Linked DNA regions of Rattus norvegicus. The protein of the gene in region 1 purifies or fractionates together with the protein of each later gene. This does not show direct contact. Links are inferred from orthologs where the notes say so. Each region holds a gene or a part of one and is shown in the gene's direction. Other genes may lie near its edges.

What was found.
Region 2: the proteins of Syncrip (region 1) and Fam120a purify together in Homo sapiens (co-immunoprecipitation; 3 studies listed by BioGRID and IntAct, counting the BioPlex papers as one, with this or other methods). This does not show direct contact. The link is inferred for Rattus norvegicus from reciprocal best matches to the Homo sapiens genes SYNCRIP and FAM120A.
Region 3: the proteins of Syncrip (region 1) and Stau1 purify together in Homo sapiens (affinity purification with mass spectrometry; 3 studies listed by BioGRID, with this or other methods). This does not show direct contact. The link is inferred for Rattus norvegicus from reciprocal best matches to the Homo sapiens genes SYNCRIP and STAU1.
Region 4: the proteins of Syncrip (region 1) and Ilf2 fractionate together in Homo sapiens (co-fractionation; 3 studies listed by BioGRID and IntAct, with this or other methods). This does not show direct contact. The link is inferred for Rattus norvegicus from reciprocal best matches to the Homo sapiens genes SYNCRIP and ILF2.
Region 5: the proteins of Syncrip (region 1) and Hnrnpa1 purify together in Homo sapiens (affinity purification with mass spectrometry; 5 studies listed by BioGRID and IntAct, with this or other methods). This does not show direct contact. The link is inferred for Rattus norvegicus from reciprocal best matches to the Homo sapiens genes SYNCRIP and HNRNPA1.

Annotation. Positions count from the first base shown.
Region 1 is NC_086026.1:98,308,879-98,312,392, reverse strand, and holds part of Syncrip (heterogeneous nuclear ribonucleoprotein Q), read left to right. Parts: coding exon 1-12; intron 13-2,260; coding exon 2,261-2,374; intron 2,375-2,472; coding exon 2,473-2,649; intron 2,650-2,659; exon of another isoform or gene 2,660-3,514. UniProt on the Homo sapiens protein: Heterogenous nuclear ribonucleoprotein (hnRNP) implicated in mRNA processing mechanisms. Component of the CRD-mediated complex that promotes MYC mRNA stability.
Region 2 is NC_086035.1:15,974,099-15,977,612, forward strand, and holds part of Fam120a (constitutive coactivator of PPAR-gamma-like protein 1), read left to right. Parts: intron 1-501; coding exon 502-643; intron 644-1,013; coding exon 1,014-1,110; intron 1,111-3,514. UniProt on the Homo sapiens protein: Component of the oxidative stress-induced survival signaling. May regulate the activation of SRC family protein kinases. May act as a scaffolding protein enabling SRC family protein kinases to phosphorylate and activate PI3-kinase.
Region 3 is NC_086021.1:176,142,147-176,146,234, reverse strand, and holds the start of Stau1 (double-stranded RNA-binding protein Staufen homolog 1), read left to right. Parts: upstream 1-1,287; 5' UTR 1,288-1,467; intron 1,468-4,088. UniProt on the Homo sapiens protein: Binds double-stranded RNA (regardless of the sequence) and tubulin.
Region 4 is NC_086020.1:178,259,915-178,263,428, forward strand, and holds part of Ilf2 (interleukin enhancer-binding factor 2), read left to right. Parts: intron 1-2,202; coding exon 2,203-2,307; intron 2,308-2,620; coding exon 2,621-2,698; intron 2,699-3,018; coding exon 3,019-3,121; intron 3,122-3,514. UniProt on the Homo sapiens protein: Chromatin-interacting protein that forms a stable heterodimer with interleukin enhancer-binding factor 3/ILF3 and plays a role in several biological processes including transcription, innate immunity or cell growth.
Region 5 is NC_086025.1:136,252,768-136,256,924, forward strand, and holds the start of Hnrnpa1 (heterogeneous nuclear ribonucleoprotein A1), read left to right. Parts: upstream 1-1,350; 5' UTR 1,351-1,391; coding exon 1,392-1,406; intron 1,407-1,450; exon of another isoform or gene 1,451-1,808; intron 1,809-1,948; coding exon 1,949-2,065; intron 2,066-2,321; coding exon 2,322-2,468; intron 2,469-2,639; coding exon 2,640-2,850; intron 2,851-2,936; coding exon 2,937-3,029; intron 3,030-3,116; coding exon 3,117-3,209; intron 3,210-3,356; coding exon 3,357-3,431; intron 3,432-3,634; coding exon 3,635-3,793; intron 3,794-4,157. UniProt on the Homo sapiens protein: Involved in the packaging of pre-mRNA into hnRNP particles, transport of poly(A) mRNA from the nucleus to the cytoplasm and modulation of splice site selection.

The DNA of each region.
Region 1 (3,514 bases):
GCGAAGATTAAGGTATGCTTTTAAAACTTTCTGCAGCTTTACAACCCTCCCAGTTATTTAAGAGCTTTGTCAAATGTTCCTGAAGTGTGCCCGGGTACATATATTTCTAAGGTTATTCCTGAAGTGCGCGCGCGCCGCGCGCGCACACACACACACACACACACACACACACACACACACACACACACACACGCATGTGTATTTCTAAGGTTATTGTCTTCTAATGAGTACACTTTGAAAAAAAAGATTGACTGTGTCCACTTTTGGTTTTTGAAAATCACTGCAGTTTGTCTGGCTACTACTGTTCCAACCTGTGTGTGCTGTCACTTACAAAAGTGTAAGAAACATTTAAAGAGGTGGTTAAGTCTAAATGTTTACAGATTACTGATCAACAAAACTGGGAGCAGATTGGCTGGCTGCTTTTTTTTTCCCTTTAGGAGGGCAGGGTCCCAATGAATTTAGAATTTAGTATTGTTTCTTTTATTGGGTTATGAAGGACAGTTATTTCTAAAACCAAGTTTGGTAAGCAAGGACAATGGGTTGGGAGTGAAAGTTTCTTTTGTTGCAGGTTGGTTGTTTTTAAGGTCCTAGAAGATTAAATGGCCTCATTTAGGTAGTGTTCTTGGTGAGTTAGGTGTAGTTCAAAGAGTATAGTTTATATTAGTTTTTAGATTTTAGTAATGTACCACTTCTTTAGGCAAGAGCTATGGTTTAAGAAAAGCAGTTGCTAAGAAGGGCATAAATGTGTGGTATTATACCTCTATTGGAAAAGGAAGCCTAGATCATGTGGACAAGATTGGAGTATGATGTTGTTTGTCAACAGTGTGAGTTTTTACAAAGGATTGTGAACGAATTGAATTTAGGTTCCCAATAAAAATGGGGTTTATAGTCTGTATTGCAATTATGCCAGTGCGATTGGGGAATTATTAATTTCTGAAGAGTTGTGTTTGGATTTGAACTTAGAGCCTCAATGCTTTTAACCACTGAGGCATTTCTCCAGCCCTTCCTTCATAAGAGTTATACCTTTGAGTAAATTTGAGTAATGAAAAAGCCATTTAGATCATACAGTTTTTTGTGAAACTTTGTTAAACGTTTATGAATACCTTTAAAATTGATATATTTTTATAAGTCAGGTTTTTGGGGGGGATAAATTACATCAAGGAAGCATCCTATACATCGTTCCCACAATTTCATATGTAATGCTGTTTGAGTAAAAAAAAAATTTTTGGGAGATTGAGGTGACTTAACATTTTGATAAGTTTTATCTTATGGTCCTTATTTTGAATTGTTAACTAGTTAATAAAATAGTTTTGTTACTTAGAGAACTTTCCTCGTTGATACAGAAGCGGACTTTTGGGCTTATTTGGCTAAACAGGTTACACATGTCCTTTTTGTCACTTTTACCTGTAATAACGGATGAAGAAAAACCCCTAATTGAGTAAAATGAGTTATAAGTTTTAACAAGTTGAGGGAGATAAAAGTTCTATGATTGTAGTTTCTTACTGTTTTTCAAAATCATTTTGGCTGCTTTTCTTCTGAATGAGCCATGCTATTTGTGGTACACAACACTTTGACAGCAAATAATAGAAAAGCTTTTCATATAGCCTTCCAAGTTTATAGACGTGATTTAAGGGGTGGAGGTGACAAAATGCCCACAAATGGTATTGTGTGTCTTTGGGTGGGTTAAGAGTTTATTGGGTAAGAAATACAGAGTTCAATAGTAATCAAATTGTTGCATTTTTAATGAGGTATACTTGTGCGCCCCCCCCGCCCCCCCAGTGTGTATGTGGTATGTGTCTGTGTTTTGAGACCAGTTTCTCAGTGTAGCCCTGTCCTGGAACTCTGTCTTTGTAAACCAGGCTGGCCTTGAACTCAGAGAGATCCCATGGCCTCTGCTTATTGAGTGCTGGGATTAAAGCCATGCCTGCTTTAAATGAGGTTTCTCTTAGCAGACTCAATATATATATATATATCTTAGAAGTTGCTGGTGGGTCGATTTTAATTTTTATTGCTCAGTAATTAATTGGCCAATAACAATGATATGCACAGGATTCTGAAATTTTGATTGTAGGTTACATGAAAGGGAGAATGTTTTTTTTTAATTGGATATTTTATGTAAAAAGGGAGAATTCTAAAACAGATCTTACTCATTTGTATGGAGCAATGTTGCTAAGATTGGTAATATTTGAATGGGATTGACTTAATTACTAAAAATCTGTATTTTAAATGAAGCATTAACAACATTTTGAACTTTTTAAAGGCACTTTTGGAAAGAACAGGCTACACTCTTGATGTGACTACAGGTCAGAGGAAGTATGGGGGGCCACCTCCAGATTCTGTTTATTCAGGTCAGCAGCCTTCTGTTGGCACTGAGGTAAAGAACCTTAAACTTACACCATTTGTAGTAAAAAAAAATACAGCTCTAGTTTCTAAAGAATTGTCCATGATTGTGAATTCATATTTAATTTTCAGATATTTGTGGGGAAGATCCCCAGAGATCTGTTTGAAGATGAGCTTGTTCCATTGTTTGAGAAAGCTGGACCTATATGGGATCTTCGTTTAATGATGGATCCACTTACTGGTCTCAACAGAGGTTATGCCTTTGTCACTTTTTGTACAAAAGAAGCAGCACAAGAGGCTGTTAAACTGGTAAGTTTTTTGTTTTTTTCTTCTCCTTTTTCTCTAGGCTTAATGTCAGTTTTTGCTTAATGTGTTTTATCTGGTGGTTTTTGAAGTGCCGTGTTTTCCTGTGTATATGCATTATAGAAGGGGTATTTGATAAGATTCAGAATCTGTAGATGGTACGGAATTTCTAGTTTGTGCTTCTGGCTTTGGATAGCTCTGGGTAAAATTAAAGGAATATGAGAATTTTTCTTAGACCACATTTTTCCTTCATCACAAATTCACAAAACACCCATTTATTTTAAATAAGTAAATAAATAAGACAGCTCTTAGAAACACTGGCTGTTCTTCCCGAGGCCCCACACTCAACTCTTGAGTACCCACAGGGCAACTCAAAACCATCTGAAACTCTAGTTCTTGGGGATTTGATGCCCCCTTCTGGTGACGCCAGGCATGCATGTGGTGTACAAGTATGTGGACCAAACACCCATACACTTAAAATAAAAAGACAGTACAGTTAAAATTCACAGAAGATACCAGGATGATATATTCTAAGTAGCAACATAAAGGTTTTTTTTTTTTTTTTTTGGTTCTTTTTTTCGGAGTTGGGGACAGAACCCAGGGCCTTGCGCTTCCTAGGTAAGCGCTCTACCACTGAGCTAAATCCCCAGCCTCATAAAGTATTTTTTTTGTGAGCGGGAATGTTTGATTTAAAAACAAGCAGATGTTTGGTGAGAACCTAAATTTCCTAACATTTAAAAATGTATAAAATTATGAAATATTTAACAGAATTTTTTTCTTTTAATTCTTTGAATCAAAAAGATTGAGCCAGGGTGTAGTAGCTCTGAATTTCTGTACTGAGGCATGAGGACTGTCATGATTGAGGCCCCTG
Region 2 (3,514 bases), on another chromosome or scaffold:
ACTCAAGCCTCACTCTAAATTTACACAGTCTCCCTCTAGTCCAGTCTGGCCTCAAATCCACAATCCTCCTGCCCCGGTTTCCCAAGTGTTTTGATCACAGATGTTTACTAGCATACTTCTCTCTTATAGGTACTTAACTACAGATTAACGTTTCACGGGGTAGGGCCAGGCCTGTCTTTAATCCCAGCACATGGGAAGCAGAGGCAGGATTATCTCTGTGAGCTCTGTGCTGCTGGCCTAGCCGGCCTACAGAGCTCCAGGAAAGCCAGGTCTACATCGGAAAGACCTGCTTTCAAAACAACACCAGTGATAATCATAATAATGAATTGCATGGAGTGCGCAGAGAGTCTTCTGTAATAGGTCTTCACAAGGCAGGGTAAATGGCTTCTTACTAAATAGGAACCAGCAGTAGGAGTTGCTTTGCTTGTTTTTCCTTTTGCTGGTCCCAATGTGTTTGTAAAGATCTTGTCTTCTCATGGTTTTGTTTGTTTTTTTGTACAGGAGTCCAGCCTATTCCTTCTCAGGGAGGGAAGCTAGAAATAGCTGGCACGGTGGTCGGCCACTGGGCTGGGAGCAGGCGGGGCCGTGGGGGCCGAGGGCCCTTCCCTCTGCAGGTGGTGTCTGTGGGAGGACCAGCAAGAGGGTAAGCTCTGGGCCGGGCTGGGTGCTGTGCTTGGTGTAAGTGCAGAAAGCAGCCTTTGACTGTTCCTCCTCCTGGGCAGGGGCTCTTCTCACGCCACTGCTAAGTTTCTCTTTCACATCATTGTTAGTGTTGCATAGAATTCTCTTATATATCACTATATAATTGTTTGATTCATCATTGTTAAATAATTAACCATGCGTTATTCAGTTAATGAACTGTCTTTTAAAAATGTTCCAAGTGTTAGTTTTGAAGTCAAATGCCTTGGGTGTCCATACTTAGCACTTGATGTGTCACATGACTTGAGAGTAGTTTAAACATCATCTTTGATAGACTTAAATCTGTTTGCTCTTCTTTTCCTGTATTGACCCAGGCGTCCAAGGGGTGTTATTTCCACTCCTGTGATTAGAACGTTTGGAAGAGGTGGAAGGTACTACGGCAGAGGCTATAAAAGCCAGGGAGCAATTCAGGTAATGTCCCCATGGTGTTCCTCTGTCACTCCTGTCCTGTCTCTCTTCTAGGAGTGTCCTTGCATGTGTTCAGACTATAGGGCAGTGAGTTTGTTTGGTAATTGTCAGGCCTCTGACTTGATACTTAAATCATTTCCCTGTGCTCAGGAACTCCATTGGGTGACACCTGTGTGTTTGACTTCTTGTTTAAGCCAAGTGAGGGCAGGCTGGCCTGGCCATGTCTTCCAAGACAGCCACTGCTTTAGTGGGAAATAGTTGGGTTGGGTTTGGTTGGGTTTGGTTTGGTTTGGTTTGGTTTGGTTTGGTTTTTTTGGTTTTTGTTTTTTTGAGTCAAGGTCTTGCTATGTAACCCTGACTGGCCTGGAACTTGCTGTATAGACCAGGCTGACCTCAGACTCACAGAGATGCCTTTATACACATAAAATTATGTGTATAGATATTTTGCCTGCATGTGTGTCTGGGCACCAGGTGCCTCAGAGAGGTGTTGGTTTTCTTGGGACTAGAGTTATAGAAGCTTTGAGTCTCCATGCAGGCGCTGGGAATTCAACCTCAACCCTGATCTTCGTGAAGGGCCCCTAGTACTCTGAACCACAGAGCCCCTTTTCCAGCCCCACTCTGAATATTTCATGTATACCTGTTGTGCATGTGCTTTTCTTTGATCTCTTAGATCCTATGTCCTTTTCCTTGGGTGAACTGCTTGTAGCCTTCTTATGGACACCTGTACCTTGTACATGCCTTGTGGAGAGACAGTGTACTGACACTCACTGCCCCAGTGAAATACTTGTTGAATTCCAGTGGATAGGCATTTGACTAAGAGCTCTATTGTGGTATTTAAATTGACCTTTGTCCATCTTGGAGAATTTTGCTTCTGGAGGGTTGGTTAAATGAACACATCCCATATTTAGACAGTGCTTTTTTTTTTTTTTTTAAAACAGATTTCACACACAGGTTCAGTACCTGCTCACAGTGCTGTAACTAGCCTCCTGTGCCGAGAATAGCTGCAGGAACATTTTCACACCACCTTCATTTTCATTTTAAGCATTAGCTGTATTTCATCCATATCTGGGCAGGGAGCCATGATCCACTATACTTTGCCATTGTACCCCAGTTGTCTTGCTGCTATAAATACCTTCTTGACCCATGTACCCTCCAGGCTCTCGACCTTTGTTCTGGTCTCTGAAGTCCCCTTCTCAGTGGGTTCTGGAAGAATGACCCCTCAGGAAGGACTGATGGAAACTGTTCAATGTAAAGACCGTGTCCTACTCAGGACACTGGCTTGCAGGCTTTTTCCACAGTTCTCTTGCTTTACTGAACTTTCTTCATACATAAAGCTTTGCTGTCAAAGAGCTACCTAATCTCCTTCCCATTGAACTCACCTGTGTGCTTGTCCAAGGCGCCCAGATTGGTTTGCTTTTCCATGAACACTTGGTGCCTTTTCTAGAAGCCCCTGGCACTGCTGCTCTGATTGCCACACTCAGTGAGCCCAGACCTTTCCCTTCAGGAGCTTGTCTACAGAAGCATGGTGCTGCTTGCCAACTGCCCACTCTGACTCTTCCCTGCCTACCTTCCTCTCTCCTATTTTGATTTACAACTCAGGCTACAGTTTACCTCTAGGGTTCTTTTCTTTCTTTCTTTCTGTTTTTTTTTTTTTTTTTTTTTTTTGGTTCTTTTTTTCGGAGCTGGGGACCGAACCCAGGGCCTTGCGCTCTACCACTGAGCTAAATCCCCAACCCCTCTGTTTTTTGTTTTTGTGTTGTGTTTTTGTATTATGAGACAGCTTCAGTACACAGCCCTGTATGGAGCTTGCTGTGCAGGCCTCAGATTCCTGTCGACTCCCTGTCTCTGTCTTCTCCTGAAGACTGGGATTGGCGTTAAGGCCTCAGTGCCACTGTGTCACACTCCCCTGTTTATTTCTGTTTGTCATTATATGTGAGTGATATGATGACCATGCATGTGCATCCATGGACCCCACTGGCCACGTACCTCTAAAAGCTGAACTTTGGCATCAGTTCTCTTCCTTTGACCTTTATGTGCAATCCAGGGACTGAACTCAGAATGGCAATGAACCCTAGTTGTTTTTTTGGTTTATGTTTTTTTTTTTTTTTTTTTTTTTTTGGTTCTTTTTTTCGGAGCTGGGGACCGAACCCAGGGCCTTGCGCTTCCTAGGTAAGCGCTCTACCACTGAGCTAAATCCCCAGCCCCTGGTTTATGTTTTTTAAGACAGGATCTTTCTACATAGCCTTGGGTATCTTAGAATTCATTTTGCAGACCAGGCTGGCCTCGAATTCACAGAGATTGCCACTCCCTGCGCTGGGATTAAAGGTGTAGACCACCATGCCCAGTTGCTTTGTTCTTTAAAAGACTAAATTTTGGGCAGCTTTGGACTCACAGCACTAAGAAAGGT
Region 3 (4,088 bases), on another chromosome or scaffold:
CAGATAGCATTGTGAATTCATGCAAAGTCAGCCACAGTGCTGTGGCAAGGAGACTGAGTTGTTAGGCAAACTATTTATTTATTTATTTATTTATTTAATTTTTTGTTTTTTTGAGACAGAGTTTCTGTCTGTAGCCCTGGCTGTTTTGGAACTCAAGAGATCCACCTCTCTCTGCCTCTCCAAGGGCTGAGATTAAAATGTCTGTGCCACTACCACCTGGCTAGGGTTTTTTCTGTGTGTGTGTGTGTGTGTGTGTGTGTGTGTGTGTGTGTACTTTTGGGGTAGAGATGGAACCTAGAGCCTTGGGTATCTAGCTATGATGTCTACCTAGGTGCTTCAATCACAGGCATCACTTAAAATAAGCCGCAGAGGATCCCATAACCTCTGACAAGGATCCCATCTTTCTAGTACTAAAGACCTCTCTCCCCTGCCTCCCATAAGAGGGCTGTTACAGGGCTGGAGAGATGGCTATCAGTTAAGAGCAGTTATTATTCTTGAAGAGGACCTGTCTCACAACTGCCTATAACTCCTGCACCAGGCAGGAAGTGACAGCACTGGACTCAGTGGACACCTGAACTCACACGCTCATACATACCATGCACACTCACACATACACGCACACGCGCGCAAGAAAATTAAGAAAACCCAAGAGGGCGAATAGAAAAGTTACATCATGAGTGGGAGATGGAGCTCAGTGCTAGAAGTTTGCTTCAATCTCCAGGACCACATCAAAGAAACCAACACCAGCCTCTTGTCCACAGAAGCACACTCAGTTTAGAGCTCCGTGAAAGCAACCAGAAAGTACTTGGTGCTTGTCTTAAAACAGAATCAGACTTCATTTACTGTGCTTTCCCCAGTAGAATGTAAACTCCATGAGGGCCGGGACTTGTGCATTCTCACTGTATTTTCAGTTTCTGACCTTGTACACAGCAGCAGGTTAACAAATGTTAGTATAGGAAGAAGGAGTGAACGCAGGAAGGAAACATAAAGCCTGGACAAGAAAGGAAGTTAGGCCTGCTTTCCCTGCCGAACCGGAGCTCCTGGGAAACTACAACTCCCAGTACACCTTGGACTCAACGCAGCGGTGCCTGGCCCCCGTTGGTCTTACGTGCCTAGAGAGCGCATGCTGGACGCGGCGCCTGCTGGGACTTGTGGTTCCTGCCACGGTGGGGGGGGTGGGGCCGGCATGGAGGCGGGCGGGGGCCGGGGGCGGGCGCGGCCCCTCCCCCGTCACTTCCTGCCGGGCTGCAGGCGCCGAGCCACTCTTCAGCGTTTGCGCTGGCTGTCGTCGCGTCTGTGTGCGCTCCCCCTTCTTCTGACCCCCGGCCCGGCGGCGCCCGCCTTCTCCGCAGCCACTCCGTCTCTTCCCTCCCCCGGTCTTTTTTTCCTCGCCCTCTTCTTTTGCTTTTCTTCCTCGCCGCCGCCCAATACCGCCGGCCCCGGGACGAGCTCTGGGGAAGCAGCCAGGTAAGGCGCTCGGGTCGGGCCGGGCCGAGCAGCGGAAGGACCCACGCAGGCACGGCGTCAGCGGGAGGTGGGCGGCGGGTGGGCTAGGCCTCGAGGGCGCGGGAGCTGCGGCCCAGGCTCATCTCCGCCCGCGGGGCCTTCCCGGAGGAGGCGGGCCCTCCGCGCTGCTCGTGGGCCCAGTGCGGGAGTTAACGCGGGGGTCGCGGGCAGGGGCTGGGCCGGTCGGCAGGCCACCAGGTTTCGGTGCTGTGCACAGTGTTGCGGCCACTGCGGAGCTGTGGGATAAGGTGCCAATTCCCGGCTCTGTCCCCTTAGCAAGTCACTTCGTACTCTTTGTGTCTCTGTTGTGAGGGGGAAAAGGAGGGGGAAGAGTATTAATCCTGTCCCAACCCCGTCCCTGCCTCTTCAGGCTGTGAAGTTGCAGTGAAATGGGGCGTGTAAAGCGCTTATCAGTGTGCCAGACCCACACCGTGTCCCAATAAACCGTTTGCATAATTTATTAACGTGGTATGAAAGTATAATTTAGGCTTCAGACTGGACAGAAGTTGACCTACCTTCCCATTTGGGTTTTCTCCGAGGCAGAAGAATCCCTCGTGCCCACTGCCAGTGCCTGGGCATTGTGCTTGCTTGGCACCAGAAAGGGGCGCGCGCTTAATGGGGACACTGTAGCAGACAGGTTATGGATGTAAAGCCATCCTTTCTGTAGAACCAGTTTCAGGCACTTCACTGGCTCCCGTAGGCTCCGCAACCTGTCCCATGTTTCCTTGCCACCACCCAGAACGTTATTGTCATTCCTTTTTATGAGAAAGTTGCTGGCATAAGCTCCCCTTGGGTTCAGCAGACCTTTTTGGAGCCCTCTTGTGTGTCAGGTTCTGGAGGTGGAGTATGCAAAGATGCTAAAACCGTGCTTTCTTGGTCCACATCTGTAGTTCTTCACTTTCTTTAGCTGAGCTTCGATTTCACTCCCGGTACCTATCCGTTTCCCTTAAACTCTGGCCGCACCTCCGTCCTTGTGGCAGTATTGCTGGTCTGAAGCTTTATCTTGTACCCTTTTGCATTTTGCCCATGTATTGTGTGCCTTTTAAAGGTCACTATTTTCAACTGCTTATAGCTGAAATTCTGTTTCTGTTTTTTTGCTTGCTTGTTTGTTTTTTTCTGAGATGTGGTTTCTCTGTGCAGCCCAGGCTGTCCTGGAACTTGCTCTGTAGCCCAGTCTGGGTAACTGTAATTCTTGAGAATTGGAAGTGTTGGAAGAGATTTAAACTAGGATTTTGGTCTTTCAGGGATCTGTGCTTACCAAATGCAAATTACATCACTACTTGTTGAAGTAAAAACTAAAAATACATTTGGGGAGTGTGGAGGGAGAAGTCTTGGTCATTCTAGTGAACTTTTAGTAGACTCTTTATTCTGACTCAGCCTTTCTCTTTTCTTTAGTAAGATTAAGTACTCTTTTTTTTTTTTTTTTTTTTTGGTTCTTTTTTTCGGAGCTGGGGACCGAACCCAGGGCCTTGTGCTTCTTAGGTAAGCGCTCTACCACTGAGCTAAATCCCCAACCCCTTGTTTTTGTTTTTAAATCTGTGCTTAGTGTCATAGGTGTCCTCCTCCTTAAAGAAACACAGCTGGTACAGGAGCAGATTTATAAGAGCAATTCAGTGTGTGTTTTCTGTGCTCAATGCTCTTCTACATGGAGGCCGGAGGTCAACTTCTGGTGTCTTGTCTTCCTTGACGGCTCTCTACCTAATTTCCTGGAACAGACTCTGAGGGTTGCTGCCTTTCCTGGGCTACTCATCTCTTCAGCCTCTCGGCAGATTGTTTTAGGCAGTAAGTTTCTTTAATAAGTGGAGAATGTTTATATCACACCCATCTGATATTGCATGGCTGTGTCTGTGTTTTTGACATCTTCCTAGTGTTTTTGTAATGTCAGGAAATAGTTTCTAGCGTCCATTGTTGAGTGTAATGGCTTTTCTCTTTGTTTGTTTGTTTGTTTGTTTTGGATTTTTTTGTTTTTAGAGACCAGGGTTTCTCTGGGTAACATAGCCCTGACTGTCCAGGAACTTGCTTTGTAGACCAGGCTGGCCTTGGACAGAGAGGTCACCCTGCCTCTGCCTTTGGAGGAGTCCTGGGATCAAAGGCATTCAATATTTGTCTGCTTTTCAATTAGTCATTAATAGTTCAGGAACTGTTGATTCAGTCCTTAAGGAGTAAGGCTGAAATCTGGGCTGAAAAGTGGCATTCTCCTAGAGAAGGGGAGTCCGCTAATTCTGCAGCTGTTTTCCTGCTGTGTATTAATCATATGTCAGCCAAGAAACCAGACCCCAAAAGAAAGAAAAAAAAAAAAAAAAAAAAAAAGAGAAAGCGCAGTCAGTTCTAGTATACAAGAAATGTCATTTCATTGACAGATTAACAGTCAGCCTGATATGACCTGGTTAAAGTCAAAATGACTAAGATTATGATAGATTTAGGATTTGTTTTCAAAACAAGCTAGTTTAAAGGAGGGAGTTCAAGAAGAGACAAGATGGACCTTAACTATGAGTTAATAATTATCAAAGCTGGGTGACCAAATACACAGTGCCCTCTATAGCATTCAACTTTAATACTTAAAAACAAGACAACTGGGGTTG
Region 4 (3,514 bases), on another chromosome or scaffold:
GGATAGAAGAGGTTTGTCAGAGGTTGTGAGCTACCATGGGCGTGCTAGGGATCAGTCTGGTTCCTCTGCAACAGTAGCAAACACTCTTACTGCTGAGCATTCTCTCTCTCTCTCTCTCTCTCTCTCTCTCTCTGTGTGTGTGTGTGTGAGAGAGAGAGAGAGAGAGAGAGAGAGAGAGAGAGAGAGAAGAGAAGAGAAGAGAAGAGAACACAGGGTTTCTTTGTGTAGCCTTTGCCTGTTCTGGAACTCACTCTGTAGACCAGGCTGGCCTTGAACTAACAGAGATCTGCCTTGCCTCTGTCTCAATGAGGTAGCGATGAGGGCTACCACCACCCGGCCTTTATCTGTTTTAATGTAAATGATGAGCACTCTGGCTGCTGTTGTAGCTTCCTTGTAGAGTGCTTGCCTGGCCTGCATAGACCAGAGTATTTCATATGTCAGGGTGGACTGCACACCTATAATTCCAAGTCCAGAAGAAGAAGAGGCAGGAGGATAAGATTCAGTCATCCTCAGCTACCTAGCAAGTTCAGGTCAGCCTGCAATTTATATAAGACCTGTTTCAAAAAAAAATAATAATAATAGCAGAAAAATAAGGTTTGTATTTGGACTTGAACATCTGAAGGACTTAAAAACAAGTGTTGTAAGGTGTACTGGCTTTAAAATGGAGTGGATGGGGGGTTGGGGATTTAGCTCAGTGGTAGAGCGCTTGCCTAGGAAGCGCAAGGCCCTGGGTTTGGTCCCCAGCTCCGAAAAAAAGAAAAGAAAAAAAAAATGGAGTAGATGGGAAAAATAGAATTAAATGTAGAATTTTCTGGGTTTTTTATTTTTTTAATTCTAAAGATTTATGTGTGTGTGTCTGTCTGTATGTGCACCACACACATGCATAGTACTAGTGGAAAGCTGAAGAGGGGGTCAGATTCCTTGGAACTGTACTTACTGGTGGATGTGAGACCCATGCTGTTGCTGGCAACTGAACCTGGGCCTTCCAAGAACAGCCAGTGCTTTTTAACTGCAAAGTCATCTCTCCAGCCCCTATTATTATTATTACTCTTTATGATACATTTTCATTTTATGTACATTGGTGTTTTGCCTCATGTGTGTCTGTGTGAAGGTGTTAGATCCTCTGAAAGTGAAATTACAGATAGCTGTGAGCTGCCACATGGGCACTGGGAGTTGAACCTGGGTCCTCTGCAAAAGCAGTCAGAGCCATCTCTCCAGTCCCTCTAGTTTATGTTTTAAAAAGTGCTTTTTATTACATTTATTACTACATGTACACGACAGCAAATATGGTGATCAGACTTGCAGGAATGGTGTTCTGAGTGGGTCCCAGAATTAATGACTCAGGGCCTTTGCTGCCAAGCCATCTCACTGGTTCCTGTTTATATCTTTTTGAAGCTGGTTTTGAACTGTTGGTTCTCCTGTCTCTTTCTTCAAAGAGCTGAGATCACAGCTGGGATTACAAGGGCATAACATTTTTGTTTCCTTTTGTAGTATTGGGGAAAAAGTCTCTTGTGCACTTTTCTTAATTTTCTTTTTTCAAGACAGGGTTTCTCTGCTTAGGACTGGCTGTCCAGGGCTGAACTTAACTCTATAGACAAGACTGGCTTCAAATTCACAGAGATCTGTTTTTTTTTTTTTTTTCCCCCGGAGCTGGGGACCGAACCCAGGGCCTTCTGCTTCCTAGGCAAATGCTCTACCACTGAGCTAAATCCCCATCCCCCCCCCTTTTTTTTTTATTTATTTATTTATTTATTTTTTTTGGTTCTTTTTTTCGGAGCTGGGGACCGAACCCAGGGCCTTGCGCTTCCTAGGTAAGCACTCTACCACTGAGCTAAATCCCCAGCCCCCTTTTTTTTTTTTTAAAGATTTTTTTTTTCTATTCTTTTTTTTTTCGGAGCTGGGGATCGAATCCAGGGCCTTGCGCTTGCTAGGCAAGCACTCTACCACTGAGCCAAATCCCCAACCCCAAGATTTACTTATATAGCTTATGTATATCAGTGTCCTGTCTGCACATATGTTTACATTGCCAGAAGAGGGAAGCAGATCCCATTATAGATGGTTGTGAGCCACCATGTGGTTATTCAGAATTGAATTCAGGACTTCTGGAGAGGAGCCAATGCACTTAAACCACTGAGCCAATCTCTTCAGTCCCTCTTCTATGAATTATTTTTGGTAAATAACATAATTTAATTTCTGGTTTAGTGTGAAATGGCTTTTCCCCGGGTCAAACCAGCACCTGATGAGACCTCCTTCAGTGAAGCCTTGTTGAAGAGGAATCAAGACCTTGCCCCCAATTCTGCTGAGCAGGTATGTGCTGTCCATGGGCTGTGTTAAAAGTTCAGAGTTTCGGTCCCCAGCTCCGAAAAAAAAAAAAAAAAAAAAAAAAAAAAGTTCAGAGTTAAAGAACTGTTACTCCATCTGGTTAGGGAGAGTGTAAGCCAGTAGTAGACACTTGAGGCCCTAGGTGTGATTCTCATCAAGAGCCGTTAGAGCCCAAACTCCTCTGTGTGTGTAATTATTCATCTCCCTCCTTGTTGTAGGTGGAGAGTCTGGTGATGATGTTGCAGATGTTGTGTGTCATTTTTGGCTTTAGGGTATTTTTGCTTTGTGATGTTTTCAGGCTTCTATCCTTTCTTTGGTGACAAAAATAAACAATGTGATTGACAACTTGATTGTGGCTCCAGGGACATTTGAAGTGGTGAGTTTTTGATTTAATCCCAAGAACGGGCACCCTTGGTGGTACGGAAATTTCCTTGGCTCTTGCCTGTTAATATTTCAGTTGTCTGTTATTCAAATCAAAGCCTAAAATGGAAAAGTACAGAGAATTCTGGAAAATTCCTAATCTTGAGGACAAGATTGTATCACTGGTCAGCTAACCATGCCCAGGTTTCTGGTTATCTAGGGGTGAGATTTCAGCATGGCTGCTTCCAAATCTGGGTATTAAGAAGCAGCTGAAATGGTTCTATGAGGACTCAGCACCTTTATTTTTCTAAACGTCTCTGAAATCCCTTTCAATAGCAAATTGAAGAAGTCCGACAGGTAGGATCATATAAAAAGGGGACAATGACTACAGGACACAATGTGGCTGACCTGGTGGTAATACTAAAGATTCTGCCAACATGTAAGTATATCTCTTATCTTTCTCCGTTGGGGATGGGGCTCAGGGCCTTGGGCATGTTAGCTTGTCATGGAATGCCTGAAAGCACAGGACCTCTGAAGGTTCGAGTTTATTACTGAATATGTAGTGGCCATAGCAGTTGGTCTTATAATCAGTCAGGTCAGTGTAGGTCAAAGGTTAACAGGAGTCTCAGCCCACTCTTTTTCTTTTCCTTCAAAGATTTAATAGATTTATTTCTATTAGTGTTATGGGTATTTGTATGTATGTGTACCATGTACATGCCTTGGGCTTACAGAGGTTAGAAGAGGGCTTTGGATCTCCTGGAACTGGAGATATAGATGGTTGTGAACCACCAAATGGATGTTGGGAATAAATCCAGGTCCTCTACAAGAGGAA
Region 5 (4,157 bases), on another chromosome or scaffold:
ACGTCCTCTAGAGTCTAAGTGAAGGGTGAAACTTTTTGTACCAAAAAGTACAAGAAAACATATGTTTTCCTTAAGGTAATATACGGAATGAATGCCTTAATTATAGGAGTCATTTTAGTTAAATGTTCGCCCCCACAAATGCAAGACTAAGCTTTATTTTTTGAGAGTAGTCTGTCCTACTGGCTCCAGGTTTGCTCTATATGAATTTAACCTACCGACTCCCGCGCTCCCCACTGGAGTCCAGCCTCTGCCTCTTGGGGAAGGCCGGCCTATGGCGCGCTTGGGGTTCATTGGCTCGGAGAGACGCAACTCAGGCAAGAAAAACCCGCCTCCCACATTCCGATGGCCCAAGGACCGGTTGGTAGGCAGCTATAGGAAGACCCAATTGGCCTATACACTCGCCAGTCAAACGCTTCGGCAACGCAGCTTCACCGAACCTGCAAGGATAAAACATCCCGCCCCAGTTGTCCTATTGGCTGGCCCGACCCGTCGCGGCCCCTTCACCGTCGTCTCCCCCCCCCCCCCAGTTCAGCGGTCCATTCATTTCGTACAATAACCGGTGCAATTGGAGCAGGTTCAAGATCTCGTACGGGTAGACAAGACTCTGCCACTTACCCGGGATCTAAAGTGATCACTCACACTAAGGCCTGCACGGTTCCTCTGTGGCAAAGCGGCACCACAAGCCACCGCTACCGCCGCCTTCTGCGCAATGCCAACCGCCCGCCAAAACGGATCCTTCCCTGCGCCTGCGCAACCAATCCCGGGCTTGGACCTTTTCTCCGCCCAAAACGCCTGCGCAAAACAGAACACAGGTCCCTCCACTACGCAGGCGCCTACGAACCTCGTATCCCTCTCCCGCCCGCCATTTCACGTGTTCCAGACAGCAGGCGGAACTTCGTACTGCGCCGGCGTAAACTCGCCATTTTTATTACACATGCGCTTTATAGCTGGGAAAAGTCGCGGCGAACTACTTTCTAACGTATCGTCCTTTGCCGAGTGAGTTTGTAACATTCGGGTGTGGGGAAGGTATAAAACACATTTAAAGACGTGAGTACATTCAAATATAAATTACTGGCTAGCTAGCCAATCAATGTGGTTAAGAATAAGATCCCTTGGGGCGTCAATGACTCAAAGGGGCGGGGACTGAGTAGAACGCCCAAACGGATGCCGTTTCTTAGCAGGGCGTTTTTACAGGCCAATGGTGGGAGGGAACAATTTCAAATCTCCAATAAGACTGAAGCAAGGGCGGAGTCTACCAATGCCGAAAGCGAGGAGGCGGGATAAAAGGGAGAGCAGAAGGTAGGCTGCCGGACACGTTCGCTATCTTATTCCTTTCTGCTCTTTGACGCTGGCGAGGAAGCATCGCTGAACGCTCTCATCATCCTACCGTCATGTCTAAGTCAGAGGTGAGTTGAGCGCGCTCTGCAGCTTCGCTTTCTTCCACACTTACTGAATATGACGGGATGTGACCTGTTTTGTCGCTGGCTCCCGTGCTTTCGGTGTTTGATCGATTACTGCTGAGGCCTACTTTAAAAAATGCAGGTCGCCATTTTGTCCTCATAGTCACCATGAGGCTGCGATCCGACAGCCATTAGTTTCTACGCACTGTTCCTTTTGGCAGAATTCTTACACTTAACGATCTGGGGTTTGTGGCCTTTTTTTCGTTTTTCCCTATCTGGTCTAATGATCTCTTGTTAAAGAGATACTAAGTCTTAATGGCGATGGACCAGACCAACCTGTGTCTTTTGTTGCGCCTGCGTATGAAGTAACAGGACGCATGCGCCGCGTGCAACTCGAGTCCCCAGTCAAGCCCAGGAAGGAGCACGTGGTCTTGTGCAGTAATAAAGAACAATAAAAAAGTGTGGCGTGTGTTGATGAATGGTGTTGATTCATTCGCCCAAGTTTCAGGCCCTCCACTAAGCCCCCTCTTTCCCCCACTTTATTTTAGTCCCCCAAGGAACCGGAACAGCTGCGGAAGCTCTTCATTGGAGGGCTGAGCTTCGAAACAACCGACGAGAGTCTGAGGAGCCATTTTGAGCAATGGGGAACACTCACCGACTGTGTGGTAAGATTTAAAAAAACAAAAGGAAGAGCTGCCTTATTTCTTCTGATTTAACCTTGACGCTTCTTAGCTAAATGTTTTGTGAAGTTAATTAATGGGATACTAAAAATCATCGTTGTGGAGCTTTGCTAACAAGATCTGTAAAAGAGCTTTTTATTTTCTGACTCTGGATGGAGTTTCATGTTTGCAGCGCTCTGACTAGGAATGACTTTTTGGCTTTGTGATCAGGCACTGTGTTGATTGAATTAACTCTAAACAGGTAATGAGAGATCCAAACACCAAAAGATCCAGAGGCTTTGGGTTTGTCACATATGCCACTGTGGAGGAAGTGGATGCTGCCATGAATGCAAGACCACACAAGGTGGATGGAAGAGTTGTGGAACCTAAGAGAGCTGTGTCAAGAGAAGTGAGTGGTTTTTCCTAATAGCTGGTTCTTTTTTAACCTGAGATTGTAATGGGGCAGATCTCAACTGGGAGATCCTCCCTCCTGAGTGAAATTAAAGGCATGTGCCACCACAGGTGTCAATCATTTAGGAATGTGCTGCTACTAAATAACTGGAGTCATTTTTCCTTTTAGGATTCTCAGAGACCAGGTGCCCACTTAACTGTGAAGAAGATCTTTGTTGGCGGTATTAAAGAAGACACTGAAGAACATCACCTACGAGATTATTTTGAGCAGTATGGGAAAATTGAAGTGATTGAAATTATGACTGACAGAGGCAGTGGAAAAAAGAGGGGATTTGCGTTTGTCACCTTTGATGACCATGACTCTGTGGATAAGATTGTTAGTAAGTATCAGAGGATTACATTTTCCTTTATGATTCTGGAGTTCACATGTTTTTTTAAAAGTCCTGAATTTAATTTTTCCTCTTAGTTCAGAAATACCATACTGTGAATGGCCACAACTGTGAAGTAAGAAAGGCTCTGTCGAAACAAGAGATGGCTAGTGCTTCATCCAGCCAGAGAGGTGTGTTTATTGCTTGGTTAGACTTGGGGTGAGGAGGACACTGTTAGTTATTACAGGTTAACCTAATGATCCAAAATTTCTTTTAAGGTCGAAGTGGTTCCGGAAACTTTGGTGGTGGTCGTGGAGGTGGTTTCGGTGGCAATGACAATTTTGGTCGAGGAGGGAACTTCAGTGGTCGTGGTGTGTATGGCTTTGTTTGGCTCCTTGTTGGTTTTAGAACTTATAACTAGTAATTGCTACCCTGTGTCCCCAGCACTTACAGGTTTTGATATTTGATAAGTATTCATTCACGTACAAAGCCTGGTTTAAAGCTTTGGTTTCTTCCAGGTGGCTTTGGTGGCAGCCGTGGTGGTGGTGGATATGGTGGCAGTGGGGATGGCTATAATGGATTTGGCAATGATGGTAAGTTTCTTAAGGAGTCTGTAAGGAGTGGTTTCTGGCGACCTCTACCTTTAGAATAGGCTACTAGAGACTAAACCTAGTGCATGACAAAGTTCAGTCAGCCCCGTAAAATGCATGCCCTGAGCAGCCTTTAGCTATTTAACTTGCGTAGATTTTTCTTGTTAAATACTTTTGTCTTATTGAGAAGACTTGTATTCTTGTAGGTGGTTATGGAGGAGGCGGCCCTGGTTACTCTGGAGGAAGCAGAGGCTATGGAAGTGGTGGACAGGGTTATGGAAACCAGGGCAGTGGCTATGGCGGGAGTGGCAGCTATGACAGCTATAACAACGGAGGAGGCGGAGGCGGCTTTGGCGGTGGTAGTGGTAGGTATCCAGTGACGCAGGTACTTGGTGCGGAGCTAGATGAGACTTCCAGGGTTTATGCCCGTCTCAGACTTCACGGCTGGCTCTTAGAGCATTGTAGGTACATTGCATGGTGCGTGCAAATAGGCTTGCTATGCTACCTCCTCCTGGCTTTAAGCTGGGGCCGCCTCCCCCAAAATGAGTAGGTGGATGAGTGGTTAGTGTCTTCCTTCCACATGAGGTAGTTAGAGACATAGCTGGATTGTCTACCTTCTGCTGGGACTTCAGGCATTTAGTTGATATATCCAAGAAATGTCTGTCTTGACCTAGAATATGTACACAAAGACCTTCGATTCTAACTTGCCACTGAGAGAAACTGTCATTA